Regions from separate parts of the Mus musculus genome. Here all the other regions are reported to be linked to region 3. The links are microRNA targets in miRTarBase. Many come from high-throughput screens and were not tested one by one. Region 3 holds a microRNA gene; each other region holds the end of a gene's coding sequence.
Evidence for each region. Region 3 holds the annotated microRNA mmu-miR-30d-5p (UGUAAACAUCCCCGACUGGAAG, at 6,126-6,147, opposite strand). A microRNA usually pairs through its seed, bases 2 to 8, with sites in the 3' UTR of a target mRNA and lowers its output. Matches are read on the target gene's strand: a 7mer-m8 pairs with bases 2 to 8, a 7mer-A1 pairs with bases 2 to 7 and ends in A, and an 8mer does both.

Region 1 (10,768 bases), not on the chromosome of region 3:
GGAAGTTTTCTTCTATTATTTTGTTGAAGATATTAGCTGGCCCTTTAAGTTGAAAATCTTCATTCTCATCAATTCCTATTATCCGTAGGTTTGGTCTTCTCATTGTGTCCTGGATTACCTGGATGTTTTGAGTTAGGATCCTTTTGCATTTTGTATTTTCTTTGACTGTTGTGTCGATGTTCTCTCTGGAATCTTCTGCACCTGAGATTCTCTCTTCCATTTCTTGTATTCTGTTGCTGATGCTCGCATCTATGGTTCCAGATCTCTTTCCTAGGGTTTCTATCTCCAGCGTTGCCTCACTTTGGGTTTTCTTTATTGTGTCTACTTCCCCTTTTAGTTCTAGTATGGTTTTGTTCATTTCCATCACCTGTTTGGCTGTGGTTTCCTGCTTTTCTTTAAGAGCCTGTAACTCTTTAGCAGTGCTCTCCTGTAAATCTTTAAGTGACTTATGAAAGTCCTTCTTGATGTCCTCTATCATCATCATGAGAAATGTTTTTAAATCTGGGTCTAGATTTTCGGTTGTGTTGGGGTGCCCAGGACTAGGTAAGGTGGAAGTGCTGCGTTCTGATGATGGTGAGTGGTCTTGATTTCTGTTAGTAGGATTCTTACGTTTGCCTTTCGCCATCTGGTAATCTCTGAAGCTAGCTGTTTTAGTTGTCACTGTTAAGAGCTTGTTCTTCAGGTGACTCTGTTAGCCTCTATGAGCAGACCTGGAGGGTAGCACTCTCCTTAGTTTCAGTGGGCAGAGTATTCTCTGCAGGCAAGCTCTCTTCTTGCAAGGCAGGTACCCAGATATCTGGTGTTCGAACCAGACTCCTGGCAGAAGTTGTGTTCCACTCACTAGAGGTCTTAGGATCACGTGTGGAATCCTGTGTGGGCCCTTGCGGGTGTCAGGCGACTCAGCTGGCAAGGTAGCCGGGGCTCGAGTGGAGTGGAAGGGGTTTGTGCCCCAGATCAAGCCCGGGTAGCCTGCTTCCCTATGTACCGCAGTCTCAAGTTCCACGCGATTGGATTGGGGTAGGCGCTGTGTTCCACTCACCAGAGGTCTTAGGGTCCCGTGGGGAGTCCCGTGTGGGCCCTTGCGGGTGTTGGGCAAGACTCTGCTGTCAAGGTAGCCCGGGGCTCGAGTCTCGAGTCGAGCGGAAGGGACTTGTGCCCCAGATCAGGCCCGGGTAGCCTGCTTCCCTATGTACCGCAGTCTCAAGTTCCGCGCGATTGGATTGGGGCAGGCACTGTGATCCACTCACCAGAGGTCTTAGGGTCCCGTGGGGAGTCCCGTGTGGACCCTTGCGGGTGTTGGGCAAGACTCTGCTGGCAAGGTAGCCCGGGGCTCCGGAAAAGAGATTTTAAACTAGAAATTGTTGCCCTTGAGTTACTTGATTTTTCTGGCTGAGTTTAACTTGTAGAAAGTTTGTAGTGTAGCTAAAACTTAGGATTTATTCAGAGGAATGGACAGTCAGTAGGACCAAGATCCCTCCTTGTGGGTAGAGCAGTGGGAAGTTAACAGCTTTCCCTATCTATTATGAGTCCTTACCTATTGTTTATTTTTGCTCTAAAGGAAAACAGAAGAAAGGCACCTTGCTATGCAGGTAAAAAGCTGGGTCTCAAACCACAGAACAGCATGGAATGGACTAAAATGAGAGTTACCTGATTTGGGAGGAGTTGAGATAGATGAGCTACAAGTGAATATAATCAAATTACAGGCTATATGTATGAAATTCTCAAATTGTGCATGTGTGTGTGTATATGTTTTTTAGCAGATTCCCTCCACAATTATGCTTTCATTTGAAAAGACTTCCTAAGGGACCACAGCCAAAAACAGAAGCATGTTTTCCACCTATTTTGTCTAGTAGGTCTACTATACCAGTCATATGGGCAATACAAATAGTAGCAGAATCCTACTTCAGGCCAATTGAATTTCTGGTGTGGGGGAAAAGGTTCAACTTAGTTGAAAAGAATCCTATAGGATGCTGGCTGTGGTGTTGTATGTCTTTAATCTTAGCACTACGAGGATAGCCTCAGGTACATCTTGAGTAGAGGTCAGCCTGATCTATACAGTGAGCTCCAGGAAAGCCAAGTCTTTTACTTAGTCACAAAATTAAACAAAAAGTCATCTAGGTTACTCATACATAGCCTAATATTTTAATTTGCATTTAAGGAAATTATTGATGATCAATTGATTAAGGCACAAAAACTTAGTGAAGAGGCCTGGGCCACTTTGATATCTTAATTCCAGTTAATTTCCAATGAATGCGATCAGACTAGGTAGACTTCAGCAATGCTTTTGCTACATACATACACACACACACACACACACACACAGACACACACACACACACACACACACCCCTTGGCAATCAAAACCTACCATTCCCTAACTGAGCAGCACAGACACAGATCTCATTTTCTGTAAAATGCCAATTCCCCTCTGATGAGATTCTCTATCTTCTAATTTCCTTCTGACTTTCCTGGATTCATGAGATCCTGGGGTCACTTAGTCTCTTTTCTGGTTTGAAAAGGGAACCCAGGGATCTTTTCCATTGTGCTCCTTTTTGGTGGAGGGTTAGCACATCCTGTGACTGACTGCAGAAGTGCAAATTAGTCCCTGAAAATGTACAGAAACTTCAGGAACAGGTCTTAGAGTGTAGATGGTGTGACAAGACTGACTAAGATACATGGCACAAGTTGAATGAAATATGGAAGTTTCCTCTAATTTCCGTTTCAGCTTTGGCTTGTTTTGCCTATAGAATGACTCCCTTAATACCATGAGGTTTTTTGTTTTTTTTCAATTTTCCTTTAAGAGAAAATCCATCACCCATAGATCACATGAATGCTGTTGTAGAACAAACAACAAGAAAACACTTTAGTGACTGGAGGTCCCTCATGAGCACAGAAGTTTATTAGCATTCAGCAAATGAAATATATGTTGTAACATACAGGCAGTGTATCAGGATATCCAGATGCCAGTGAGTGCTAGGGATGGAGAGGTAACAAATGCAGATGATTCCATGATGTCTCAGGAATGCGGAAGGGAAGCTCAGGTGCAGCAACAAGCTACAATCCCCTTTCTGTCCTGGAAGAGAGAACTCTTACACCTAGACTCATATCTTTCTTCTTCCCCCAGCCATTTTATTTAACGTGACCTAAATATACATTTCTGGTTTACCCCAGCCCTTCCCCACCCCCATATACAGCGGGGAAAATAAGCACCAATAGTAACAGGAATAATTAAAGCCCCCTCTTAATAGACCCAACCCTCACAAATGTACATGCCATGTGGATTTTCTTCTTTGGAATGACTACAGGATGGAGAAACCGTGGATCAGGCCACCCAGCCATGACTGTAACAGTCACCATTCCTAAAAGTGCCATCCTGGTTAAAGAGACAACTCAGCCATTAAGGGCTAAGACTTACAATAAAAAAACAAAACAACAAGAGTTCAGTTTCCAAAAGTACCATCCACTTGTGAGCTGGAACAGGGAAGGGAAGGAGGAGGCAGGATGTGGAGAGATTCTCCCAAAGTAGCAAGAGGGACCAAGGAATCACCTAATGCCTTTTCTGGACAATGTTGCCATCTTCTAAATTGCTGGCAAGTCTCATTCAAGGGTGTCTCCCAAGGAGATGACCAATTCCTGGAGGTTGAAATAGCATTGTCATCTGTCATCCCGAGTCTCCTGGTGTTGAATGAGCCCCTAATGCTCCATTGGAGAAACTTAATACAACAAACCACACAATATGGGCATGATACTTTGCAAAAAACAAGCACAAAATATAAAGAAAGGAAAAGAATAAAAGTCAAGAGGCAGGAGTACTTTCAAAACGTCTACACAAGAGAAGGAAGGGCTCAAAAGGTAAATAAAATGAAAGCTAGAAAACATGCTGTCTGCCAGGGTCCACATGCTTGCGTTACCTGGTATTGGTCTTCGGTACATGGGCATCTTCTGTCCTTACCGTGTGGAAAGAGAATGAATAGTGTGACACAGCCAGGTGGGAGAGGGAAAAGAGGGAGGGTCCTAGACACTTTGAGATGACATCCCTCTGCACGAGCAGCAGCATTTTTTGTGTCATCTTTTTTTTTTGTTTAAAACTGTAAACAGCACCGCTTAAAAATAAAATATATCAGAAAAGAACAATTGATAAACATTGTTTCCATGAATATAAAATGCAAACAATATAAAAATAGATAATTAGCTTTTGATATATATATTTATATATATATATTAAAAACAACTTGGATGCAACATACACATGGGTAAACTTGAAGTATCCCTGGTAAACCCCCATGCCTCCCTCTAGCAAGTGAGCCTAAGGGCTGAAGGCAGTGGTGGCACTGGTGCAGGTGAAAAAGCCACTGGTGGCAGGATGAAATCATGCACCCAACATTCTGAGTGTGGAAAGCTACTTCCCTCCTTGAAATAGCACTAAGAGGAGGGACACTGGCATTTACTGAAACCATTATCCACGAGGCTTGTGGTCTGGTATCTAAGCTAAAGCCAGATGATCCCCAAGGCAGAGCTTCCTTGGAGAATCTAAAGCACCAAGAAATTGGCATCCTGGCTTTGGAAGAGGCCTGCTAGGTGGCTTTCCATACCCACAGTCACTGGTCCTCTATGGACTGGGTTACTAAGAAATTCTCAGGATCAGAGCTGACACTATATAGTAGTACTGGGTAACAACATAAAGCTAGCCTCCTTCTGTCAGCACATCTTCCCTTAAAGTCACATCCAAATGCATTGTCCAAGGACCTGCAATGGAGTCAGGAGGTTCATCTGGCCACAGCCTTAGGGTGAACACAATAGCAGCACTTCTGGTAGTTTGTAGCATATTTGGTGCCAGCAAAGGAAGTACTTGTCCATGTTTGGACAGATACCTAGAGATTGGTTACATATCCCATTGGTAATCATGTTGCCATTACCATATATCCGCAGCCAAATCTTCTTTCCCCTTCTAGGCTGCAGTTAGTATTTGCTTTAGATACTCAAAAGGAGTCTGCTTCTGTAGACATCTTGGCTATCCCATTTTAGGTTGTAAATATTTTGTCCCTAGGCTAGCAGCCAGATCAGTGAAAGGACTTGGAAGGCAATGATGTTACCCAATCCACAAACTTCTACTTTGCCTCAGGTCCTACTCTAAGGTATGAAGTTTCAAAGCATAGCAAAATATATCCAAGTTATAGCAGGTCCCTTCAGAGATATTGCACTGTGCTGTCCTCCTGAACTGTGAGGGTAGATTCCTTCTTCCTCTTCCAAACAGGCTGGTAGCCCTTCTCCAGTGGGCTATGGAGGCTGTGGACAGCTCTAGTGCCTGCTGTAGATGGCAGCGACATGTAAACAGCAACTCAAGCTACCTTGACTAGGCAAGAGGTGTGGCTTTTCCTGTTGTAAAGGCATTGAGTGCTTACTTCCTGCCACCCAACCAGGCTAAGTTCAGCCTCACCTTCCCAGAACAGCTTTGGTAGGAGGCCAAGTGGTTAAAATCTGGGCATGTGTCTCTTATGACGATGTGGTTGGGGTAAGGAAGGCCTTTTTCACTTTCATTATCCAGATCCACAAGAGATGCACTTCTTCGTGATGTAGCCAAAGTCATCCAAGAGAGCTGATCTGAGGTCCTTGAGGGGTGGTTCTAGTGCTGGTGCCATGCAAAGTTATGAAGTTACTTACAAGGGGTTAGATTTTACCAATCAAATCTGCTCTTTTGGGGGAAAGGCACAGGGCCAATCCCAAGCTTAGAAACTGTGAAAAATATTATGAATATATGCCCTGGCAAAGAAAGTATGTCTACAAAGCAATCTTGACTCAGAAGGCCACCAGCATCTGTTCTCAAGGTAAATTGCCTTATTTTGAGCAAGAGCCCTATTGATATCTTCACTTAGTAGATGTGAAGATGGCTTTGAGGTGAGAAGAGGGACATGGGCAGAAGATTTAAAAAGTTCTAACTTTGATCAACATATCGATCCCCAAAATATTTCATATTCCAATACAGAAAAAAATTTAAAACAAGGTCTATCTTGCTATGTAGCCCTAGTGGCCTAGAACTCACTATGTAGAACAGGCTGGTCTCACACTCATATAACTCCAATTGCCTCTTCCTTCTGAGTGTTGAGATAAAAGGCACATACCTCCACACCGGGCCTGATGGAGAATTTTAAAGAAACTGTTTCATATAGATGATTAAGGAAATGTTGAACCTGGTCAAGATGAGCCTGTTGCAATGTTTTCCTGACACCAAGCTCTTCCCTAGTGTTTCCAACATTTAGGCTGGGCTTGCTTGGAGGCAGAGGCAGGTGGATCTCTGTTAGTTAGAAGCCATCGTGGTCTACATGGTAAGTTCCAGGCTAGAGAGAACTACAGTGTGGGACCTTGTCCAGAAAAAAAATATAGAAAAAAGAAAAAGAAACCTGCATGGATGCAAGAGAAGAGAGGGTGCTGTTCATTTCAGAAAGGACTGCAACTGCCATGCAAATCAGCCCTGTAGTTTGGCAGAGCAAGGGTACATTACAATCTTTCCTCTCAAGAAGCCTGGTCCTTTGAAAATGCTAAGAACTTGGCTAACTGGAAGATAAAAGCTTTTTAGTGTGCCTACAACAGGTGAGATGCCTTTGGCATCCTGTCTTAGACAAGCTTGGAACCACTTTACAAAGGGGCGGCCAAGGGTTTATTTATTTATTTACTTTTGGTTTGGGAGAAAGGATGGGAAAAGTTTTCCCTCCTAATCTGAGTTGCTTCAAGTTCCAAAGTCTGAGATCCCTTCTTGGTGTTTAGATAAATGGATCACCCTGTCTGTTTTCCTCTTTTGCATCTCACAACACCCAATGCTCTATATAGTCAAGCCCAATTTAGGTGGCTTCTCTTCCTTTAACTCAGTTAAGATACTACATTCATTGTGATGAGATGAAATTTTTCAGGGACAGGAAAAGGGGGAAGTTCTAAAATGCCTGCAACAGCCACAGGCTTAGGAAACAAACAAGATAGATATATTATTATTCCACAGCTCAAGACCTCACAGCATTTTCCATAAGCTATCTATCTTTGTATTCTGCTTGAATATGGACAGATTTAATCACCCCCTTATGAGGATTAGTGTTTTTGTCTTCAATCTAGACTATGGCAGGCCAGGTTAAAAGGACATCATCTAGTTGTGATACCAAAGTCCACAGCAACAGGGAGCGAGACACATGCTACTTGACCCACTCTAAACATAACTAACTGGGATAAATAGGTTATAGTCATTTGATGTGCTAGAAAGGAATGGGGTTAGGAAGGCTATGTACCATAACTTTATATTGCTAATAGCTAGCAAGCCTCCCATCTCTGGGTGAGAGTCAGTGCAAAAAATTGGCTGCTCATCAGTGGTTCATTAGTCAGCAAGGGACCAGAGAAGAGGGGTTCAGCCTGCAATAAGGATGCATCCCAAGCCCTGTATAGGTCACAAGAAACTCCAAAGCAAAAATTGGAGCACAGAAGCAGCAGCCTCCCTAGGCAGATATAATTGAGCTGAACCTGGCCAAAGATGGCAGAGGAAGGTGGGCAAAGTGAAAACTCAGAGGAGTTTATCTTAGCCAATAAGATTTTCAAGTGGAACAGCACTACTCACCCCTACCCCTCTGCCCAACCCTTGACCCCCAATTCACATGCTCAGGTCTCCATTCTGGAATTGATAACTACTTGGCTAGGTTTCCATTCATGGCAGTAGAGGAGTAGCTGGTAGAGAGAGAGGCACCTTGCTCACCCCTCTCCTTTGACAGGTCAAGGTTGGAAGCTCGATAGTGATTGGGTTGAAGCTGGAAGGGTTCAGGCCGCACCCTGGGCAGCTGAGGGATACCATGGGTGATACCTACAGGCTTGGCTTGAGACTGAGAGTTGGCTCCAGAAATGGAAGAGCAACTGGGCTCATCTACAGGCAGCAGTACATCCCGAGGCTTGGCCCTCCCACTCTGGGAGGCCTGTGATTGAAGGTTATAGCAAGGGCCCATGGGCAGGGGTAGGTGCGAAGGTCGAGCTAGCTGAGACACAGAGTCTCCAGGTGTTCTTCCTGGCACTGACACTGGCATTGCCACAGGAGGTACACAACAGGTTGCCTGCACATAGGAAGACTGATTGAAAGGCTCATACAACTGATTAGGGCTCATCCAAGCAAGACCTGGCCCCACTGGAAGAGGACAGTGAGCCCAGGGAGGCCAGTCATAGACCCCTGGAGGTTCAGTGTAGAGAGACAAGGGACTATCCCGACCCCATTCTCCTTCCTCTTCTTCACCTTCTTCATCTGAATCTTCCTGGTGGGCCTGGAGCTCATCAGACTCCATGTAACCCTGGGCTAGGTGAGAACTGGAGAGCTCCAGCTCCAGAGACTCTGCATTGTCAAGGGAACGGCTTCTCCTATTGAGTGCCATTGCAGCAGGAGGAGGTCGAGGGTGGACTCCGGGGAGTCCTAAGTATCGAGGGAGGCTGCTAACTCCCCAGGGCAGGCCTTGGTAGAACCGACTGTGATAGCTGTTGAAGGCATGTTTGTGGTAATAACCCAGCTCAAAAGCTTCCAAGGAGGCTGTAAGATCTTCGTCATTGTTGAACTCAGGATTCTCTTCACACTTGCCTTCTCCATCTCGTTCCACGTCAGCAATATCAAAGGTGACCATGGGGGGCAGCTCAGGGAGGTTTTGAGTGAAGGATGAGTCAGAATCAGAGCTGTAGGACATGCTGGTAAAAAGGTTTCCATTGCTGGTGAACTCTACTAGGGCCTGTGAGAAACTCACAGTGGCATTCCCTTCCTTCTCCTCTTCTTCTTCCTCTGGCTCCTCAGGGGGTGAGTAACTAGGGTACGCCTTCCTGGGTGAGCCTCCAAAATTTGCTTCTTGCATGTCTGGCTCAAACATGGCATCACTCTGGAAGAGCTGCATTAAACAAGTACTTTGATCTTTTTTGGAACAAGTCCCCTCAAAACGCTTCTCCAGAGGACGGAAATCCCTCCAGTCTGGCTCACTGCTAGAAGTAGCAGGGAAAGCTGAAGTGGTTCCCCGGTGAGAAGTCTGAGAACCTCCTGATGTCCCTGCCACCAGACCCATCACTGAGGGACCTAAGGGCCTCATCTGATACTCCAAGGCAGGCTTCTCCTGCCGTACCTTGGTCTCTTGGACTCGACCCTCTTGAGAATGAGCCTCTAAGGCCTGAGTTTCTCGGGCTCGGACATTTCTGCCATAAGATTCCCGAGTATGGGTGTCTCGGGCATAAGCTTCTCTGGCATGAGCCTCTCTGGCACATGCCTCTTGAGCCTCACGCTGCTCCCGGCGAAGTTCCCAGTATAGCAACTGCTTCTGGATGGTCACTAGCCGTTCTTCCTCGGTTTCCATTGCCCCAGGTGGCCGAGAAGAAAAGGGCTCCAAGTTCAAGAAAGGATCCAACATCTCTGAGTTGCGTCCACGGAGGTCATATAGGCAGTCATCCCCAGGTGGGGAGTGCTCAAGACTGTCATCTGGCTCATAGAACTCATATAGCGCATCACCACTATAGCTGTCCCTGGGTAGACAATCCCTGTGGGCAAGTCCCAGAGCCTCACCTGAATCATCCTCAAATCCTGGTGTGGTAGAGTCATAATAACCTTCATCACTATTGGGAGCAGACTCTTGCTGGTCGCTCTGAGGTGTCAAAAGTTCTCCAAGGCCTAGATTAGGATAAGACTGAACTGGGTCAAGAAGCATGTAGCCCTGGTGGCTGGGAGATATAGCAGTATGGTAGCCCAGATTCATATTAAATCTTGGGTATATCTGGGCACTTGCCCACAGATACTCTAAGTCATCATTTTCCTCTCCATCCTTAACCTCCTCTTCATCCTCTAATAATTCTTCTTCTTCTTCTTCTTCTTCTTCTTCTTCTTCTTCTTCTTCTTCTTCTTCTTCTTCTTCTTCTTCTTCTTCTTCTTCTTCATCATCATTGTCATCATCATCTGGCAAGGCCATCTCCTCCCCACCTCCTTGGTAGGTTACCAAGCAGGAACTTCGCTTGGTCCCATCTCGGTTGGCCCTCTGGCCACCAGAGGCCATGCTATCTGTCATGCTGTCCATGTCCTGTTCTGCTATAATGTCACCACAACCTGTCAGTGAGTCAAAGCTTTTTAGCGATGTAACATCCCCAAACAAGAGGCTTAGCTGATCCCCAACAGGGCCATTGGGTGGGTTTACTTCTCCTGCCACCACTTTTCCTTCTGTTTCTGAAGTGTGGGGCTCCTCTAGACTACCACCTTCAAGAACAGGCTTGGGCTGCATGAACTCTGAGGCACAGGTCCTTGTGAGTTTTTCTGGATTTTTACAAGCTGCCTTCTCAGTAGTTGGTGAAAAATGTACTTGTGCTGGAGACATTTTTGGTCCAGGGGCATCCTGGGGTTTGGCATTTTCCTTTCTAGTGTCTCGGAATATCTCCTCAGAGCTGGGCAGAGAGATTGAACTCACATGCTCATGAGACCTGGTTCTTGCCCCCTCAAGTTCCTTGGCCCCTGGCACACTTTGGTCAGCCCCAGAAGTCTTGCCCTTCCGGTGACGGCGGATACTGCTAAAGAAGCTTTTTAGGCTTTTCTTCGGCTTGTGCACAGAGGGTACCTTCTCAACTCCAGCTTTTTCTATGGCTTCAGTCCCAGATGTCTTATGTTTAGAGCCTATCTCCAACGCTCCATTGGCACTCTGGGAGCTAGGAAATTGAGCAGATGACTTGGACAAAGGTGTAGAGAGGTCTGTTTCTTCAATGACAACATCTTCAGGTCCCTGAGACGCTTCACTTAGAC
Region 2 (10,768 bases), not on the chromosome of region 3:
CAATGTCCGGTCGTGAGGGTATCAGGCCCTTGCAAGTTGCCACCCACTGCCCGGGCCTCGCCCAGCGATGCAGAAAGCCACCTACTACGACAACACCGCAGCTGCGCTCTTCGGAGGCTACTCCTCGTACCCTGGCAGCAATGGTTTCGGCTACGACGGGCCTCCCCAGCCCCCCTTTCAGGCCGCCACGCACCTGGAGGGTGACTACCAGCGCTCAGCGTGTTCTCTGCAGTCCCTGGGCAACGCCGCCCCACATGCCAAGAGCAAGGAGCTCAATGGCAGCTGCATGAGGCCAGGCCTGGCCCCAGAGCCCCTGCCCGCACCTCCGGGCTCACCCCCACCCAGCGCCGCACCTACCAGTACCACTAGCAACAGCAATAACGGGGGTGGGCCCAGCAAAAGCGGCCCCCCCAAGTGCGGTGCCGGCTCCAACTCCACCCTCACCAAACAGATATTCCCCTGGATGAAAGAGTCGAGGCAAACGTCCAAGCTGAAAAACAGCTCCCCCGGCACAGGTACCAGCTCTCTGCCTTCCTAGTCAGCTTTTGTCCAACCCAGGAATTTCACTGTTATTATAGCATCCGACCCCAAGGCGCCCACAAGGCGGCCTGGAGACAATATTAGATGGCTGCCTAGTGCTTTTTAGCTACCTCTCACTACCTGATGACCTCTGACCTGACCAACACCCAGTCCATCCAACCATCCTCCATCTGGGCTTCCAAGAGTTTCCAGGAGGTGGGATGGTTGGCTTTACAGCCCTTCCCAAGGCCGCACCGCCTGGAGGCACAGAGTCATCAAGGATAGATTATTATTAAGTATGATTATTGTAGGTATTAATCACCATCGCTCAGGCAGCCTGGGGTCCCGGCCTGCAGCCACCCGAGCCTCTATGTGCCACACATCCAGGCCCTGCCCACCAGTGTCCAGTCTCCCCCCCCCCGCCCCCCTCCCAAGGTGTTCTCAGTCACTTGTCTTGTAAAGAGGGCGGACAGAAGGGAGGAATCACCTCAGACTTGGATTTGGATATACGGGGAGGGTGCGCGCACACGCAAAATCCTAGCCCTAAATAAATGGCCACGCAGCTCTGTCTGTTTGACATGATCAAATTTTCATAAGCTGGGGCCGTGAAAGGAGAACAGGTCTCTTAATAAATGCCACTATTATAGAGTGTCCGCTAATGCGACGGGAGGTAGGAAGGGGGGGGGTGGTGGTGTAGAGGAGGTGGGGACGCGAAGGGGAGGGCAGCGGGGCCTCCGAGTCCAGGCCTGGATTTATTAAGAAACGATGCATTCAATTTCGGCGTGTTCAGTAATTATCTTTTATTTCATTTTCTCCCCTTCCCACCCCTCCCCCCTCGGGTCCAGCAGAAGGTTGTGGTGGTGGCGGCGGCGGTGGTGGCGGCGGCGGCGGCGGTGGCGGCGGCAGCAGCGGCGGGGGCGGCGGCGGCGGCGGGGGAGGGGACAAGAGCCCCCCGGGGTCGGCCGCGTCCAAGCGGGCGCGCACGGCGTACACAAGCGCGCAGCTGGTGGAGCTGGAGAAGGAGTTCCACTTCAACCGTTATTTGTGCCGGCCGCGCCGGGTCGAGATGGCCAATCTGCTGAACCTCAGCGAGCGCCAGATCAAGATCTGGTTCCAGAACCGTCGCATGAAGTACAAGAAAGACCAGAAGGCCAAGGGGCTGGCCTCGTCCTCTGGGGGTCCCTCTCCGGCCGGAAGCCCCCCGCAGCCCATGCAGTCCACGGCCGGCTTCATGAACGCCTTACACTCCATGACCCCCAGCTACGACAGCCCGTCCCCACCAGCTTTCGGCAAAGGCCACCAGAATGCCTACGCGCTGCCTTCCAACTACCAGCCCCCTCTTAAGGGTTGCGGCGCCCCACAGAAGTACCCCCCGACCCCGGCGTCGGAGTATGAGCCCCACGTCCTCCAAGCTAACGGGGGCGCCTACGGGACGCCCACCATGCAGGGCAGTCCGGTGTATGTGGGCGGGGGTGGCTACGCGGATCCGCTGCCGCCCCCTGCCGGCCCCTCCCTCTACGGCCTCAATCACCTTTCCCACCACCCCTCGGGGAACCTGGACTACAACGGGGCGGCCCCTATGGGCCCCAACCAGCATCATGGACCCTGTGACCCTCACCCCACGTACACAGACCTCTCCTCTCACCACGCACCGCCTCAGGGTAGAATCCAAGAAGCGCCCAAACTGACACACCTGTGATGGGAGGGGCGGGCTGGGGAGGGAGGGGTGAGGTTAAGGGCCAGGGAGACGGCGGACTTGGGGGATGGGCGCGGTTTAGAGTCCTGAAAGAGGTGTGGGATGGGGTTGTCGCCAGGTTTCCAGAAACAGAACAGGCCTGGGGTGCCTTCCCAGCTCCCAGGCCCCCTCCCCGCCCCCAGGGGCTGTCTTTTAAGTCCTCCATGCCTGGTTCCATCTGTCTGCCAACAACCCTTGGAAAGGAATCCACAGCAGGTTGGAGACGGGACCACATCAATCCCAGGGTTCCCAGGGTTCCAGCACTACCAAGTGGGAATTTCAGATTGGAGAGGTGACGTGGAGTCGGGTAGAGGGAGCCAAGACAGGCAAGCAGGGCAGAGAAGCACATTCAACACTTAATGGCTTGGCTATCAGCAAGCAATCAACTTACCTTGCATCTCTGTGGGTAATTTCCCCAAAATCTTGATTTTTTTTGTTCTCCCTTTCAGTCTCCCTGTGAAAAATAAGAAAATACATTTAAATCGAAGGGCACAAAGTATGTTTCTCTCCTACTTCCCTGAAGCTTCAACTCCCCCCATCCCCCATCTGTTAGGCTTCTTACTATATCTATCATTTACTATGGCCCTACGGTTGGTTTTCTGCTCTAAGGACATTCATATCTACACCCCACCCCTATTGATTACAATTTTCAGAGGGCTCAGGGATGGTAAGATATCCTGAAAGTCAGAGCTGCCTATAATATAAATAAATATATATTTTTTTTCTTTTAAAGAAAAGTTAAGAGGCTAAGGCAGGCAAGTTGTCAGGACTGGAGGCTTGCCCATTCTCCAGTCTCTCAGCTCCCACCCCATCCCACTCCCTCCACTTTCTTTTTACTTCTGTTCTTCTCTTGACTTAACGTGAAAACAGGGTATATTTGAACAAACTGTCTGTCCTGGCAGGTGCTGCAGCTGGACCTGTGGACCTTGCTCCAGTTCCTGACAGGACAGTCTTGTTGCACTTGGAGTTTACATTTTAATGGATATTAAAAAAAAAAAAAACAACTGTGAGAGATGTCTGGGCCTGCAGAAAGTCCAGCTTCGCTCAAAAAGCGTGTGTTCTAGTGAACATTTTCATATATATTTATTGGTTATAGCCTGTTAAAATATTTTCTTTTTTGTATTATTTATCCCCCTACATTATGTATTTATATGAGGGACAAAAAAAAAAAAGAAAAATGTACTTTTTTAGTATTTACTTGTTATAAAGGTTGTTGTGTTTCCTGTCATGTAAAACCAGCTATTTTAGTTTTTATTGTATTCTAGACAAGAGCTGTAGATTTATGTTAAACTCGTACATATGAGGAATTGTAATTAGTTCTAAAAGGCATGAACTCAGCTCCTAAATGTCACTGTATAGTCCCGAATTTGTAGAGATAAGAAGTTAATTCTCTCTTGGAACTTTCTTTGTTCTTCCGTAGTTATTTTTTTCCCCCTTAGTTAAAAGAGTTGTCTGTCAAAACAATTCTTGAATAAACTTTCTGTTATTAATTTTATCTTGTCATGGTGGTCCAGTTCAGGGTGCAGAAAAAGGCTCTAGTGGCCAAATGTCCCCTAGCAGGAGGGCATTGGTGACACTCCCCAGGCTCTTTGCTCACTGCTCAGGTCGCTGTCTCCCCTTCCTAGTGTTTCCTGCTTTCAACTCAGTTTTTGACATTTGTACCAGTCTGGACCATTCTGCCAAGTTCTTCAGCTAAGGTTTAAGCAACAAGCTTGGGGGGCGGGAGGGAGGGGAGGGAATCTTGGGCTAAGTCTGCTCTTTGCCTGTCTGTTTTTCTTAGTCACTGGCCTCTTTTGTCCCTTTGACCAGCACCTCCAGGCACCCCCTCTGTTTACATCCAGGCAACCCCAAACCTAGCTTATTACTGCTTCTTCCAGGCAACCTAAACTTCACGTTCTCTTCCGGAGCTACAATGAGGCTGTCACGTGACCCGAAGCCCAACCATCATTGGGTCTAAAATGAAAACAAAGGAAAATGATTAATCTTGGGGGGGGGGGACAACAAGCCGAGGCCTAGACTTCTCAGGTCAAGCCTTAAAACTAAAGCGAAATCTAATCATTAAATGAAGCCCAGGGCAGAGGAAGAGGAGGACTGGTTAGATTTCTCCTGCCAAGGAAGAGAAGGGGGCGAGAGGAAGCTGTAGAAACCAAGCTTAAATAAAATGGTCCCCAGGCTAACGTGAGGCTCTGTTTCCACGATGCTTGGGAAAACTTCATTTCTTAGTCCTGGTTCCATAAAAGTTTTATCACATTGGAGCGAGGATGGAGAGGGTCTGTCAAAGATGAAATGTCACCACCGCATAGCGGTATCCGATGATAAGAGCAAGAGCGAGGAGACAGGGGAGGCTGAAATATGGAGCTAATTCGTTGAAAGAGAAGCGATGGCTGCCCGCTGAAGAGTTACATAATTCTAATTGTAAGCGATGAACCCGCATTGCTTAATTAGGAGCATATATTTGGTGGTAGTGGTGATACGGGGTGGGGGGGGTGGGGATATAAGAATCTTTCCAGGCCCTCAGCCTTAAAGCGAGGGCTGATTTTCATTTTTATGTTGTATCCTGGCAGTCCAAGGTTAGTAATTACAGTCTTTATGCAACAATAAATAACAATAAAAAAACAACCTGAATAATACGCCCCCTCCCCACCAAGTAGAATTTTTTTAACTGGACTTGGCTCATCTGGGCAGCAAGCAATTTAGCATTGGGCCAGGCTATAAATTAAAGGCAGAGGAGCGTGCAATGTTTGATTGGGATCAAATAACGCTCAAGGGTCTGTCTTTCCTTTTCTCTTCCTCTTCCCTGAATACCATTTCTGAATGATATAACTATGAGAAGGGTCATGTTTGACTGTGAGGGGAAGGGTGGATTGCTTATTTATCTAGCTGAAGAGGAACCAGATAAGAGAGAATTTAGCTAGCTATATTGATATATTGTGGCTTGGAGCTAGGGCTCTAAACAAAAATAGGACCTACCCTTCTGTTTTCCAGATTCTAGGTCTAAAGCTGTTTAAAAACATGGATAAAAATCTGCTCTGTAAGGTAGCAGACAGGGCTGGACGGATGTCTCTGGAAGGGAGGGAGGGTTGGAGGGTTTTCTTGGATCCCCACTTTAACACCCAAGTTTTCTACTGTTCACTAATCTGGCCATAAAATCTGTCATCAAGGGTTAGAGAGCTGTATTTCCTACAGGACAGTCTGGGCTCTGGTTGTCTTAGGAGATCCTTGGATGCTGCAGCCAGCTGGAGTGCCTGTTACAAAACTTGTGGAAGTGCCCATGCTGCCGGGGAGAAGGCCCTCTCCCAGGCCTTACTGTACAGGACTCCCTTCCAGACAGTTACTATTTGGATTCTCCTCTGCTAACCACCATCCAGGAAAATATATGCATACATTGTTTTGTTTTAGCTAAGGTACACAACACCCTCTCTGGCCGCTGGCCTAGTTAAGAGCAGTTTCCCAAGAGCCTGCCTCTTTCTGTCCTTGCAACCACCACCTCCAGGTTTCCCTCCTTCCCCCCCCCTCCCGCTTCCCGGCAAACTTCTCTGCCTTTTTCTTTTCTTTCTTTCTTTAAATACTCACCACCACCCACGCGGACGTTACACTGACAGAAAGTTTCTAGTTCCAGCTCTCCGCTGAGTTGCCATTTCTCTGCTAAGCAGCCTTCTCCTCTAGGCTAGGCGACAGAGAGCGAGGAGGGGGAGGGGAGGCCAGAGCCGTGGGAGTTCTCCGGGGCAAACTTTCCACCCAAGTTAGCGCCTTCCCTCTGTCCCCATTTCCCATCTGTTTCCTAGATCTCCCAGAATCACCTTTCTCTTTGGCTCCCCCCTCCCTCAGGCCTTTTTAAGGGATATGCAATTTAGGTTGTTCCCTCTGCTTTCCCAAAGAGCCAAATTCTTTGATGCAATCGGAGGGAGCTGTCAGGGGGCTAAGATTGATCGCCTCATCTCCTCTTGGTCCCTCTGACCCACTTATTTAAAAATCTTCCCCCAGCCGACTTTTCATTTTCAGCTTTGAGGCCTAGTTTCCCACCAATTTGCTTGTGGCTCTGAGGTTTTTTTGTTTTTGGTTTTTTTTTTTTTTTTTTTTTTTTTTGTTGTTTTTTGCCTCCTTCCTCTAGTAAATCACAATATTCTAAAATTGAGCCCATCATAGGTGCCTCACCATAGAATACATTACATTTTTTTTTCTCTCTGGAGGCCCAAAGCAGAATATAATCTCAGTGGTGGTCATTATCCCCAGCCCCCTCTCCCCCACCATCTTTAGGAAATGTTTTCTTACCAGGGATTTTAAAAGTAGCCCAAAGGCAAATACAGAGGGGGAAATCCCTTTGTCCAGAGGGCGACTGTGCACTGACTTTAGCTTTGAAAGTTAAGTGGATGGCTACTTTGGTGCCCTGGATAGAGACACAGATACACCTGGGGGCCTGTGAATACATCTGTCACCTTAGACCTTCTTAGACCCTCCTATTGCCAGGGTTGGGGTGTCACAGTGTGAGTACAGATGACCCCAACAGGAAGGCAAGTGGACATAAGAAACTGCTTGTAAATTCTGAGCAGAGACTAGAATCCAGGGCACATAGCAAGGGAGGTAGGCCCATGTCCCAAAGTGCTCCTGGAATCTATGTCCCTGCTGCGTGCCAGCTCTGTGCATTTCTTAAGTGTGAACTACTGCTTTCTGAGGGTGGGTGGGCTGCCGCTGCTGCTGGTGTTTAGTGCTGTCCTTTATCCATCTCCTTTCTGATTTCCCCCAAGGTATGGAAGCCTCTTTCTACTCCCACTTCCCCCTAAATGAGATTTTTTTTTCTTTTCTTTTGGGGGCTGAGGTGGTGGTAGGGTAAGAGGCTACTGAGGGCCACATAAAGAAAGCATATTAACTCACTCCATTTCTCCCTTAAATGTGGTTGTTTGCCACCACCACACAGTCTCTGAAGGGAAGGAAGAGGTTCTTTTGGCTTTTCTGGGAAAAGAGAGCCATTAGGGAGAGTGTAGGGTACTGATGAAGGAACAGGGGTAGAGGAGGAAGCCTCATGGTATCCAGGTCGTGGTCCTCTGGAGTTTTTGAATCAATTAAAGCAAATAATGCCTGTGTTTTCCACTAGGCCTAGACTAGCGATTGGCGGAGACCGGTCCCGTGACCATGAATTCCCTGCAATTTCGGCGGAGTCCTGGGTTTAATAGAGAGAGTCCCCATACGCTTGTATTTATCAGCAATATACAATTATAAAGGCCTAAATTTAAAAAAAAAAGAGAGAGAGCGAAATCTCCCCCCCCCCGCGAAATTGCTCCATTGCATAAACCTGGGGGGGGCGGGAGAGGGGGGTCCCTCTGATTCTCCCTCCTGACGCCCCCCCCAGCAGGCCCCCTCCCCCACCATTGAAAGCCATGAATTTTGAATTTGAGAGGGAGATTGGGTTTATAAACAGCCAGCCATCGCTCGCCGAGTGTCTGACTTCCTTCCCCGCTGTCTTGGAGACATTTCAAACTTCATCAATCAAGGAGTCGACATTAATTCCTCCTCCTCCTCCTCTGGAGCAAACCTTCCCCAGCCTCCAGCTCGGCGCCTCCACCCTTCAGAGACCAGGGAGCCAAAAGCAAGCCGGAGATGGGCCTGCTCTGCGGTCACCGCCGCCACTCCCCGTTGCCCCCCCAGCCCCCGAGTTCCCCTGGATGAAAGAGAAGAAATCCACCAAGAAACCCAGCCAATCCGCCGCATCCCCTTCTCCAGCCGCCTCCTCGGTCCGGGCCTCCGAGGTCGGATCACCATCAGGTGGGTAAACGTATTAGGGGCGGGGTGAGGGGCAGTTGGAAGAGAAGGGGAGAATGTGAGGTGATGGGGCTCCTGGTGGGGTTCCCTAGGTCGACGGATCTGGGGCGAGGGAAGCAGAGTATCCCGCTGGGGTTCAGGCCTAGCCACTGTTAGCTTCCCCACCCCCAGAAAATTTTGGAAGCTGATTGAGGGTGGGGAGGATGCTTTTTTTTTTTTTTTTTTTTTAAATGTGCTTAGAAAAAAATGATTCGATTGAAGGGTTTCCCCGGTTTCTGTGTAGAGGAATGAAGCGTGTCTGGGATTGAATCTGGAGCCTGGAAAAGATGCGATGCCTCTAGCTCTCCTAAAGCTAGGGAAGAAGAGGGAATTCAAAAGCTAGGAAGGAAAGGGGTGAAGAACAATCTATGATCCCTCTCTCCCCAGGTTGAGTTGGAAAGTTCTGAATTGAGGGGTCCATTGGGAGGACTTGGGGGAGGGAGACTCTGAGGTCCTGGGAGCTAAGAGAAATTGCTCCCCGCCCCCTACGTGGCCCGTGGGCGGCTCTGAAGGCACCGACTTGACCCGGGCCGGGTCTGCCTACGTGGAAGAGCACTAAAAAAAACCCCAAAGACACAGAAAGAAGCGCTGTGGGGGTGGGGTGGGAGCCCGAGTAGGACTGCTGAGAGTCTTTTAAGCCAAAGGGGTGCTCCCGATCTCAGCTAAACGGAGGCTGCGTTGAGACCTCTCTGATAACATAGGGGTGCTTCCCTCGCAGATGGCCCCGGATTGCCAGAATGCGGCGGCAGCGGCTCCCGCAGACTGCGCACGGCCTACACCAACACGCAACTGCTGGAGCTGGAGAAGGAGTTCCACTTCAATAAGTACCTGTGCCGGCCGCGTCGCGTCGAGATCGCTGCCTTGCTGGACCTCACCGAAAGGCAGGTCAAAGTCTGGTTCCAGAACCGACGCATGAAACACAAGCGGCAGACGCAGCATCGAGAGCCGCCCGAGGGAGAACCAGGCGGGCCGAGCGCCCAGGACGACGCGGGAGAGCCAGCCGAGGAACCCACGGTCAGCCCGGGCGACGTCGCGACTCACCGGCTGCGGGAAGCCTGCTTCCACCCCGCCGAGGCCGCGCAGGGACCCCGGGGCGCACCGCCGTCAGCGCTGCCTGCCACCACCCTGGAGAGTGTGGGCGCATCGAGCCCCGGCTGCACAATGCTCAGAGCCGGAGGCCGGCAGAGCGAGCCCCTACCCGAAGACGCCTGCCCCGAGCGGCAGGATTCGCCTTTTCTACCGGACCTCAATTTCTTCGCTGCAGACTCCTGTCTCCAGATGTCCGGAGGCCTTTCACCCAGCCTGCAGGGTTCTCTCGATAGCCCCGTGCCCTTTTCCGAGGAAGAGCTGGACTTCTTCACCAGCACGCTCTGTGCCATCGACTTGCAGTTTCCCTAACTGTTTTCCATCTTTGGTCCTTTCCGTCTGGTCCTCCTTGGCTGTTGGGGGCGGGGGGAATCGGGCCTTCTCCACTCGTGGATACATTTATGCCGTTTTGTTAAAATCCAGATAGTAACGAATTAGCGTTTCATTCACTCCTTTTCGCTTTTTAAAACCACACACAAAAAATTCCACTTGGTAAAACTCCTTCCAACGAAATCTCAGGAATAATTAAACTCTAGTGGGAGAGGGTTTTCTTACAAAGAACTAGAGGGACCTATTTTCCTCTTTTTTAAGTTTTAGATTGTAGATTATTTATTAAAATTGTTTAATAATAGGAAAGGGGGAAAGTATTTATTGTACATTATTTTCATAGCGTAAATAAATGTCTTTATAATATGAAAACGAGTGTTTGTGTTGGGATCTAGCTCTTTTTGCCAAGTCCCTACGGCCAGTCTTTGCTTTCCCACTCTCCGCTTGAAGTTGGTTTAGCTCTGGCTCAAGCGACCCAAGGGAAGGCATGGTCCCATCTCCCAGGCTGACAAAGTCCGGGTGGTACAAAAGGGGCCCTGCTTGGTGACTATTTCTTTGTCCAAGACACCAGGAAGAGTTTATGGAAGCTTGGTTCATCTGCAAACAGACCGTTTCCAGTCCTGCTAAGATGTTCCCTGGGTCCCTGCTTGGAAATAAATGTGGGGTGGGTGGAAAAACAGCGTTCTGGGGGGGGGGGTGCAGAAGCGGGTACAAGAAAATGTCTCAGAGGCCAGCTTTGAGCCTTGGAGGCTGCGCAGAGGGTTAAAAGAGTTGAAGGAGAAATCCTTGGGTTTGCTAGCCTGCGGGCTTTGAGTCTGCAAGCTTAGGCCGAGGCCTGCGCTGTGCGCCCGATGCTGCCTTGGGGCTCCAGGTCCTTGAGGACTAGAATGGGGCTTAGGAATTTTGTAGGGAAGAAGGGAGGCCCGGGCGTGGCAAGAGGCTTTTGGCTCACAGAAGTAGCACGGCGAGCGGCAGAGAGCGCGGGAAATAGGAACGATGCTCAAAATGGCGCTGGGCCGGGCGACTTGGAGCGCAGGAGAAGCAACTGCGGCCGCCATGACAGCGGCTGCGGGATGCTCGGGTCCCACTCCCGGCTCGCACCCACTCCCACTTTCTTGAGGCCAGATCTTTCACAATGAAGAAAAGATAGAAAGACAGTCTGGGAGCTTCCCGCCAATTGTGGGTTTTTATTTTATTTGAGAGAGAGAGAAAGAGAGAGAGAGCGCGAGTAGAGACCCTGTGCTGGGGAGGGGGAGCGAGCGTTGGGTCCTGGGACCACTTTACCCAGTGTGGCTTTTTGCTCTG
Region 3 (10,768 bases):
TGGTTGGGTAAGTATTTGCTTCTGTCTCAATCAGCTGCTTCTTGGGCCTCAGAGGACAGCCATGCTAGGCTCTTGTCTGTGAGCACACCATAGCATCAGTAATAGTGTCAGGTCTTGGAACCTCGCCTTGAGGTGGAGCCCAAGTTGGGCTGGTCACTGGACCACCTTTCACTCAGTCTCTTCTCCATTTTTGTCCCTGCAGTTCTTTTAGACAGGAAGAATTCTGGGTCAGAGTTTTTGACTGTGAGATGGCAACCCCATCCCTTCACTTGATGCCCTGTCTTTCTACTAGAGGTAGACTCTACAAGTTCCCTCTCCCCACTGTTGGACATTTCATCTAAGGTCCCTCCTTTTAAGTTCTGAGAGTATCTCACCTCCCAGGTCTCTGCTACTTTCTAGAGGGTTCCCCCCCCCACTCCCCCCCTCAAGGTTGCATATCTCCATTTATTCTGCTGGCCCTCAGGGCTTCTCTCCTGTTTCTACCACCCCTATATCTGATCATGTTCCCCCTTTCCCCTCCCCTCCCCAGATCCCTCCTCCCTCCCTTTGCTTCCCTTGATGGCTTTCTTCTCCCTCCCAAGTGAGTGTCCTCATGGGCCCTTCTGCTTGTTAACCTTCTCTATGGATTGTATTCTGGGTATTCTGTACTTTTTTTTGGCTAATATCCACTTATTAGTGAGTACATATCATGCATGTCCTTTGGGGTCTAGGTTCTCTCAGTCAGAGTATTTTCTAGTTCTATACATTTACCTGCAAAACTCATGATGTCCTTGCTAATAGCTAAATAATATTCAATTGTGTAAATGACCCACATTTTCTGTATCCATTCTTCAGTTGTGGTGCATCTGGGTTGTTTCCAGCTTCTAGCTATCACAGATAAGGTTGCTATGAACATAGTGGAGCAAGTGCCCATGTGGTATAGTGGGGCACCTTTTGGGTATAAGCCCAAGAGTGGTATAGCTGGGTATTCAGAAAGATCTATTTCCAATTTTCTGAGAAACCTCCAGATTGATATTCAAAATGGTTGTACCAGTTTGCAATTCCACCAGCAATGGAGGATTGTTCCTCTTTCTCCACATCCTTGCCAACATGAGCTGTCACCTGAGTTTTTGGTCTTAGCCATTATGATTAGTGTAAATAATCTCAGGGTCATTTGATTTGCATTTCCCTGATGACTAAGGACTTTGAACATTTTTAAAAGTACTTCTTGGCCATTCGAGATTTTTCTGTTGTGAATTCTCTGTTTAGCTCTCTCTATACCCCATTTTTTGATTCGGTTGTTTGGGTTTTTGCTTCTTGAGTTCTTTCTATATTTTGGATATTAGGCCTCTATGGGATGTGGTGTTAGTGAAGATTTTTTTCCTCAATCTATAGGTTGCCAATTTGATTAACTGACTACATCCTTTGCCTTACAGAAGCTGAGAAGTTTCATGACGTTCCATTTATTAATTCTTGATCTTAGAGTCTGAGCCATTGGAGTTCTATTTAGGAAATACCCACCCCCACCTCCCCAGCCCAGTGCCAATGAGCTTGAGGCTCTTTCCCACTTTCTTTTCTATTAGAGTCAGTGAATCTGGTTTTATGTTGAGGTCCTTGATCCACTTGGACTTGAGCTTTGTGCCAGGTGACAAATATGGATCTATTTTCATTTTTCTACATACTAACTGCCAGTTAGACCAGTACCATTTATTGAAGATGCTTTCTTTTTTCCACTGTATATTTTTTGGCTTCTTTTTCAAATATCAAGTGTCCATAAGTGTGTGGTTTTATTTCTGAGTCTTCAATTCTATTACATTGATCAACCTGTCTGCCTGGTACAAATATAAAAGTAGCAGTTAGACCAATCAGGTCTGTGAAAAGGGTAATGGATTAAAAAATCTTAAAATAGTAACAATAATGATAACTACCGTATGTCAAGAACATTCAACTGACATCGACTCACTTCATCAACAATCCTGTCAGGTACTATGACAATGCAATTCAGCTGACAAAGAAGTGGAGACCAGGAAAATTAATACTTTCCTTAATTATTATAGAACCTGAAGCTAGGCTTAAGGCTATTTAGCAACAAATTACAGTGATATGTAAGATTTACACTACTTCTGAATCAAAATATTGGTATCATCTATATTAAGATAAACAAGTATCTATTTTAAATAGTACAGCAAGTATTTACTGAAAACCTAAATATAAACAGTATTTATAATAAGTGCCCTTTAGCTGGGCATGGTGATATACTCCTGTAATGCCACTTAAGTCATGTATCAATATGTTAACTGGTGGATACTCCAAGACAGCTGACGTAAACATCCACATCCCAGCCAACGCATGTATGACAGCTGAGTGTAGGATGTTTACATGAACTGAAACTTGGCTTAGAGAGAGACTTGAGAACTCTTTACTATGTTTATACTTGGTTTTTTACTTGAGGCTCAGACAATTTTGCAGAATCTGTTGAAAAAAAAATTAGGCACAGTGATCTACATGAGGACAAAATCAACTTGAAAGATATCTTCAGAGTAAGTATAGAATCCACAGAAACAGCAAACATTTATCGTTCTCTCTTTCATGCTCTCTCTCTCTCTCTCTCTCTCTCTCTCTCTCTCTCTCACACACACACACACACACACACACACACGTATGGCAAGAACACAGGAATTCTATAGCTTTTCCCACCTAAAGGCAACTTACTGTTCTGACAGCATTCAACTTTCTCCACCCTTTCCCTCTCTCTAAACAACTGCACCTCCATTTATAGGAGCCCATTTGATGGGCAATACGGTGTACCAATCCCCTATTCTTCCTTAACACCCAGGTCCTTGCACCACAGGCATGGCTTTCCCATATCTCTACCATGGGCCATTATTTAAAACATGGTAGCAAGGGGTAGCACAAGGACATCTACCCCTTTCTGTGTTCCTGATTTAATTAAAAAAAAAAATCACCAAATTCCTTTACTAAACATTAAAAGTTACTCTTGGAATACTTTCATCAGGGAAGAAGTCCTTAAATTAGGAAATAAAATTACATATAACACTGTCAGCAAACTAAAACTTCCTGGCATTTCAAAGATACGCCATCACCTCAGGAATCTCCTGTTTTCCTGGAGCAGCATTCTCAAAACTAATCTATCCCCACCTCCAACTCCTTTCTCCCCTTTAAACATGTTGCTTTTTCCTGTTTTCACTACAATTACAGTTTGCTTGTCTGATTTCCTGCTGTTTTTTGTAGACACATTTAATTCTTTGGGGTGGGCCAGTCCTTTTTTGCAATCAAACTTTAGGGTTTGGCATGGTGACACACACCTATAATTTGAGTGCTCTGGATTTTAGTTCTAGAGCAACAATAGAAACTTAGGAAATAAAGCAGATTCCTAAGCTCTATCCCAGACTTACTAGGGATGGAACTCTTTTTGGGGTCCTGCAGTCTGTGTTTTAGTAAGCTCACTGTAATTGTGATGCACAGTAGTATTTGAAAGCTGTTTTTCCTAAGTACATTGGGAAGCTAAAGCACTGGCAGCAGTGACTGTCCAATAATCAGGGTGTGCATAATGTACTACTGACAAAAGTTGACAAGCTCAAAACCTGTACCTTACAGTTCACCCTCGCCAACCAGCCTAGGCAAACAATCTAAGACAGAATAAGTTTAAAAGGTGCATAAACTCAGGAAATAAAACTAAACCTGTTTTTCAAAAACTTAGCATGCACAATAAATATCAGAACAGTAATCCAATGAATGCAGTTGTAACAAAATCCAAGTTGGACCCTGCTAATGCAACAGTGAATATGTTCTGGGTTAGAGGTTTATGGTCCTTTCTCAACTACACCAAGACTATTGTTGTGCAGAGAGAGACTTGAGACCATGGAGACAATGAGGACTCAACCAAAATGTATCTTTTTTCTATGAATATTTCTGAAATAGATTTGTAGAATGTATTAACTCAGACTTTATATACTTATAGTTGTCTGCTTAAAAATTAACTCCTAAATCATACACTGAGGAATAATATCATTTGTACAATGGCTGAGAACTACCTCGACATTTAGTATTCGTTGGACCAAAATAAACAAACATACAATAGTAAATAAATTTCTGAGATTTTTAAAACTGTACCAAAATTTACACATTTTCTCCTGAAAACCTAAGTTAAAGGCCAAGAAAACAATCTGTTTTAAGTTTATTGGAAAAGAAAGACAACCCAATTTTCATGGCTCAACATTCAACTGTCAATGGTGCAGGCCAACATGAAGTTTGTGGTGTTTTTAAGTTAAAACATAAATAAGTCATCTGCAGATGACGAAAAGGCTGTACTTAAATACATAGAACCAAGAACATTGAGGACGCAAGCGGACATGGTCTCTGATTTTCTTTCATTAGGGCAGAATAATACACAACAAATGTTTCACACTAGACTAGCATTAACCCTGAAGCATCCAGGGATAACTAGACTAGGTAAGCAGAGGATGGTAGCTTTGTGCATAATGACTCCTCCTCTTTTAGCTTAGATTTGACTTACCATTTAAAAAAACACTTCAAATAATTTTTAAATAAGTAAACCATGTAGTTTTTATCCATGCCATTGAATTTTAACTTACACATCAAGGTTTTATGGAAAATAACCAATGCCACCTGGCCAAACAAAATAATTCTATTAACAGAAGACACATCACACTCTACCTTGGCACAGAGAACTTTATGGGCTCCTAGCAATATCTCTGTCCAAAAATGATCAACCAAGCTCTTCTCTTAAATTAGTCTTGCACACTACCTTTCTAACAAAGTAGTACTTAAATGGATCCATAATAAAAACTGGAAATGCAACTCAGCAGTAGGTCGCTTGCTTAGCATGTTCAAGAACACTAGGTTCAAACTCCAGCACCAATAAACAAGTAAATGGAAATATACTATTAGAATAAAATCATTATTAGAGTACTGTATATCAATATACACATTTTATACATATGGTATAAAACGCAGAATTATAAAGACATAATATCCATGTCTCCAGAAAGGCTACAATCTAATCCAGGAGAAGCATATAAGAAATCAGATTGGCAGGAACTGTATCTTCTGTTTTAAGTCTAAACTGAACCTAACTCAGCTTAATAGTAACGAAAATAATGTCTGCTGGGTATAGTGGTGTGTACCTTTAATGCCAGCATTAAGCGGGCAGAAAGCTGGTGGATCTCTAGAAAGCTGGTGGATCTCTAGGAGTTACAGGCCAACTAGAGCTACACAGTGAAACCCTCTCTCAAACAAACAAATAAACAAACAAACAAGCAAACAAACGTCTTAAGAAATAAAGCTAATAGTAACCCAAAGAAAAATGTAAGTGAGAAAACATTGTAAAAGTTAAAAAAAAAAAAAAAAACAACCAAAACCAAAAACCAAACCCAATCAATCAAAAACCTCAGTAAGTTATGAAATTACACTGGTTCACAATAATTTTTGTCTATGATAGAAAGCCTAGATTATTTAGTATTGTGGAGAGAAATAAAAATGGAAAACAATACAACTACTCCCAAGGCAGCTGGGAGCCAAGCAATAACCTAAAGCTATCAGGTAGCTTAGTTTAATCCACAAGGGCATACAGAACCATTAGCAGATGTTGTGAAGAGGTCTAGTGGTTTGGGATTTCCAGACTGAGAAGAACGCTCTGATTAAGATTAGTTTCATCACAGGAGGAGGAAGCAAACATTTACATACAAATTAAGTACAGGGAAACCTGAAATTCCTAGGTTGTAGACTGCTGGGTGGGTGGTAGACATGAATAACCTACAGAGTTTATAGGGAAGAAAGTTGGTTTTCAGGATTGTTAGGAAGTTAAACTCTAGCCTATTTGAAAAAGGTATAAAGGATAAACTTGTACTGACACGGCAAAAACAGTATTAAAACTTGTTTTAGACAGATCCTCTAAGGCCAGAAGAAGCATGTTTAGTCAGCTCCCAACATTAGAAGCTGCCAGCAGAAGCAAGCAGTAAATGAATGCTCCTCAAGATTTCTGATGCATCCCAGGCATTTCTCAGCATCCTCAGCTCCAATCCTTAGGCCAGATTGTCCAAAAGATGCATTCGAAGAGCCAGTAGCAGCAAACATCTGACTGAAAGCTTGGCTGTGGCTTACAGCTTCCAGTCGGGGATGTTTACAGACACAGACTTTCTGACAGCAAGCTACAAAGGAACAGAGCAAATGGTCAGTCATTGCTTCCGCTACCGACTTTCACAACTGCGGAGCTGAATGACAACTGTGACATCTTGGGGGGAAAAGACAAACAATAAAGTAAACAATACTAGTTAATAAGGGAAGATAGTAATGTCTCTTGAATTATCTAATTAGAAAAGATTCAATACAAACTTTTCTATGTTACTCCACATGGACACATTTTTCTACCAGATGTATATGTTTTCTTTCTTCTCCACAAATCCAGAATTTCAAAATTAATAATAAATAACAATCTAAAAAGTAGATTGACCATACATCTCAGTTTTCCCAGACAGTCCTAAGTGATAGTACTATTAGAATTGAAGTTTCTCATTAACCAAACTGTCTTAATTTAGACACAAGTTTTGCTGGCAGTAACTCTATGCTGAGAAAGATTCTAATATCTTCCTCCCTATCCTTAGCTGAACTAGGTTAGGAATGTGGGCCATGGAAATGAACTAAGTGGGTAAGAAGAGGAACAATACCCGCCTTGGCTTTGCTTACAAAACAACACCGAAACATTTTGCTTTTGTTTCTTCTATTAGTTTCCTGAAAGAGAAAAGAAAGATTAAGTGATAATAGTAAATTTGTACTTTATAGATTAACTTTAATCTGAGACATATAAATTAACTTAAAAAATTAAAGTCTATTGAAGCAATTAAGTTTACAAAAAGCCAGTGATTTCTAAGAAATACAGTCATACACAAGCATCTACACCACACAAGAATAAACATTCAACAAGCTAATGCAAATCTAAAACATTACAAACTTCCTAAATACATACTACAAAGTAAAAGATTCTAACCACTGAAAATGCCCTGTAACATTGGTGTACTGGTGTACCCAAGTACATTATTACAACTTTCTTTAAACAACTTTTCCCTTTGTCTTTAGTTTATATTTTATAAACAATTAAGAAGAGTTTGCCAGATAATCTTTTCTTTAGAGTTATGAAGGGATTTTTGTCGCAATGCCATCTTTATAAAATGCTGAAAGAAGTTTATCTGACCAAAGCTTATTATAGTAGCACCATTTTATGTAAATAAACAGTTATTTAGAAGACATTTTGCTGCATCTCATGTTCATTTAGCACAACAGCAGTAACTGTCCCAGTAGGACCTTCCAACAAAAATCTTTTGACCAGGTTTACAGAACTGTATGTGAATTGCCTCCTATACAATAGGCATCAACCAAATCCAATCAGAAAGCAATTGATTACTCCCATAACAGATTTGCCACTATTACATAAGTAGGCTCATTTTCCCTAGTTAGCTGCTACTGTTGTACACAGGATTCATAGCTGAGTATGAATGTTGATAAGCTTCTCCCATCAGCCTGTGTAGTACCTCCCAGCACTATGGAGGCTAGCCAGCAATAAGTTTCCAGCCAAGTTCCAAACTATTTTCTCTAAGTCCTATGACCAAGGCATGTGGTATCTTCAGCATTTCTGGCAGGTAACCAACAGCAGTGGTGACTGGGTGTATTGCTTGGGGGCCTTGGGCTCCTCTGACTAACAGTGCATTACTCTTCTTAATGTCAGAAGTAGTAGCACGTTACTTTTCCATTTACCAATACTTTGCAAAAATAGAAAAACATACAGGCATGCATGTCCAAACAAAAATGTTTAGTGGAACAGTATTGCTGTGCATCAAACTGTAGGTTTTCATAAAGTCAATTTGTCAAAATGCTCACATAGATATATACTATACCACATTTGCCACAACTTCTCTTGTACAATGTAGAAAATAATTTAGATACCTTAATAGAACTAACATGTAACAATCCATAATGAAGATATTTTCAACACCATTGTTTTATGTTTGTTTTTTAAAGATTTATTTATTTATTATATGTAAGTACACTGTAGCTGTCTTCAGACACCCCAGAAGAGGGCATCAGATCTCATTACAGATGGTTGTGAGACACCATGTGGTTGCTGGGATTTGAACTCAAGACTCTGGAAGAGCAGTCAGTGCTTTTAACTGCTGAGCCATCTCTCCAGCCCAAAACAATTGTTATAAGAAACTGTTATGGTTTCTATATGCCTCTCAAAGTTAATGTGTTTGAAAACCGCTAGAGGTAATAATGGTGAGGTCTATAAGGGGTGACAAATAACTACAGGGTCTTTCCTTAATGAACAGAGTAATGCTAACACATAGGAAATGGGTGAATTATGTGGAGAAGGATCCTTGATACAGTATAAATCCATCCCATCTCCCCACTATATGCTGCCCACTACCTCTCTGCACCTCTGTTCTTTACTCTGCCATCAGAGGATACACTGTGAAGTTTTACCAGATACTGGTCTTTGAGTCACAACTTCTCAACTTCAGAATTATGAGAAATAATGACATTAAAGAAAGGGCTGTAAGGCACTGGATGGAAGAGAAATAACTGTACTTACTAGAAGAGGAGAGGAGAAGGGGCTTTTTTTTTTTTTTTTTTTTTTTTTTTTAAGTTCTGTTAAGGCCAGGATGGTGTTTGGATGGGGAAAAAAAAAAAATCTAAGTGATCATCAATTCACCAGTAGTTTCAAAACAAGAAGACGTGACAAGTAAGGAATAAATAGCAGCAAAATGAAGACTATCCTAAGTACATTTTAAACAAACTTCACTAAATGATAGCATGATGCTTGAAGACTGGGACTACAACTGTAGACATCTCTTTGATGTAGGAGCTGCAAAGGGCACTCACAGAGAACCATTTCCAGCAATACAAGGGGTAACTGGGAAGTCTATGGTGTCAATCAGTATATCAATGGGAAATTTGTATCATTTCTAGCAAGGAAAATAGTACAAGCTTCAATAACCAAAGCACGCTTACTCCAGTTCATACACAAGCACTCTTAGCTGACAGAATTGCAGAACAACAATGTTCTCAGAAAAGACAGGCCTGTGTTGTATGTCTCTCTTGGCTTCCTAAAATGACTACCAAAGCCACAACCAGAGACTCTCGGGGCGATCTTCTGAAAGTCTGTTCTCAGAAGGCAGTGCTCTATAGATAGTAATTAAGAATCCACCCGAGCTTTACAATTTGACAGAACTAGGCCGAACATTTAACTTTGGGACTTTGGGAAAATGACTATTTTTCTGTGACTCTTTTACCATTTGTAAAATCCCTTAAGGTACCTATCTTACTGAGTTATTGCCAGAAATGACTAACATAATGTAAAGCTCAATGGCAGGTAAATGGCCAGTATAAAATAAATGGAAATAAAAATCATCCTTTACTTTATTCATGTGGCTCTTATAATTTTGAATTGTTTGTATTTCACTTTTTAAAAGTCTTTCAAGATCTAGTTCAAATGTCAAATTGTTTACAAAAACATCACTACAACCAGCAACTTGAAAAATAACAGACATGTATCCATTAAAAAAAAAGAGTAATAATCTGTACTCTTTGTATACTTACTGGTTCATATACATTAACTTGCTCAATCCCCAACACTATGACAGGAATTGCATCATCCTATTTTTGTAAATAAAAGGCACCTGTGCAGAGCCCGCCCACAGAGCCTGGTTCCAGAGTCTGTTCCTGTACCACCGCTGTGCCACCTGTACTGTTAACTGAGAAGGATGATTAGTTATTGCACAGAGCTCTTCTACAACCTGGCACTTTCAAGTGTAGTATGGAAGGAGGTGCCTTAAACATCAAGTCTTCCCTTTGTCTACCTTATTTACCCTTTGTAGAAAGTACATCCACCGTTCCACACCTTTTCCACATGAAATAAGGGAGTGACAGTCATATAATTTGTGTTCATCATATTTTAGACTAGTAACTTGAGTCTAATTTTCTCAGTTAAAATTCTAAAACTCTAGCTCTCTTCTTCCTAAAAGAGAAAGAGAAAGAGAAAGATGAATAACAGCTTTATCCTCACATGACCCCAGGGAAGGATAATGTCAGATCACCTGCCATATTAGACTGTCAAAAATGGCTGTCATTAATATTTTGTGCAGATGTAATATAGTTGTCAGGAATCAACTAATATTCTCAACAATGTATGCCATATTTACAGATTTTGGTCTTATGGATACTTAAATTCAGAAAGTCTTTTGTAGATAAAAGATATTATTTCAAAAAAGGCAGACTCTGGAGTACGGAAATGGGCTCTAAAAAATACAAATGTGAACATTCTTTGTATGGAAGACAGGAAGTATCTTTCCTTTTGATTAAAACTTTACAAAACAGACTTAAGAGCTAAAATAAAACACACCAGGTCAAGAGCTAATGTTTAAGTTTTATAGAAAATTCTAAGCTCTTGAAAGACACAGGCTTAGAAGGAGGCTATGGTCCCTCCCTAATTGCAGCAGCACTCCCTTATGTTGTTTTCTGAATTTCTGCTGTCTTTAAGATTCTGACTAGAAACCAACAATGAACTTCATTTCATGTGCTAGTTTTTTTCAGGGTTAGGCATGCCATAAAGTTAAAATGCACAAATTAACAAGCAAAAAGATCACTGTCCCTATGTTACCTTTTGAAATTATTTAAAAAACCAAGAATTAGCTTGGTCTTTTGGCATGGGCCTGTAATCCTAGGTACTTGGGAGGATGGGGCAAGAGGAGTTCAA

Region 1: miRTarBase lists Amer1 as a target of mmu-miR-30d-5p. Seed matches in the 3' UTR shown: 8mer at 5,327-5,334 and 8mer at 4,090-4,097.
Region 2: the mRNA of Hoxb3 is a reported target of mmu-miR-30d-5p. Seed matches in the 3' UTR shown: 7mer-A1 at 3,221-3,227.

The regions. Positions count from the first base shown.
Region 1 is chrX:95,417,451-95,428,218 of GRCm38, forward strand. It overlaps Amer1 (APC membrane recruitment 1), which reads right to left. Exons shown (of 2, transcript NM_175179.4): 2 at 2,863-10,768. The coding sequence ends at 7,662. Among named protein-coding and RNA genes, the nearest start is that of Amer1, 22 kb to the right of the region's middle.
Region 2 is chr11:96,344,182-96,354,949 of GRCm38, forward strand. It overlaps Hoxb3 (homeobox B3), which reads left to right. Exons shown (of 4, transcript NM_001079869.1): 3 at 1-515; 4 at 1,365-3,749. The coding sequence starts at 68. The coding sequence ends at 2,218. It overlaps Hoxb2 (homeobox B2), which reads left to right and starts at 7,451. Exons shown (of 2, transcript NM_134032.2): 1 at 7,451-8,014; 2 at 8,769-9,835. The coding sequence starts at 7,630. The coding sequence ends at 9,448. Hoxb3os (homeobox B3 and homeobox B2, opposite strand) reads right to left here and starts at 9,213. Exons shown (of 4, transcript NR_155303.1): 1 at 8,879-9,213; 2 at 4,113-4,207; 3 at 2,646-2,708.
Region 3 is chr15:68,335,132-68,345,899 of GRCm38, forward strand. Mir30d (microRNA 30d) reads right to left here and starts at 6,158; the gene lies at 6,077-6,158. Mir30b (microRNA 30b) reads right to left here and starts at 2,379; the gene lies at 2,284-2,379.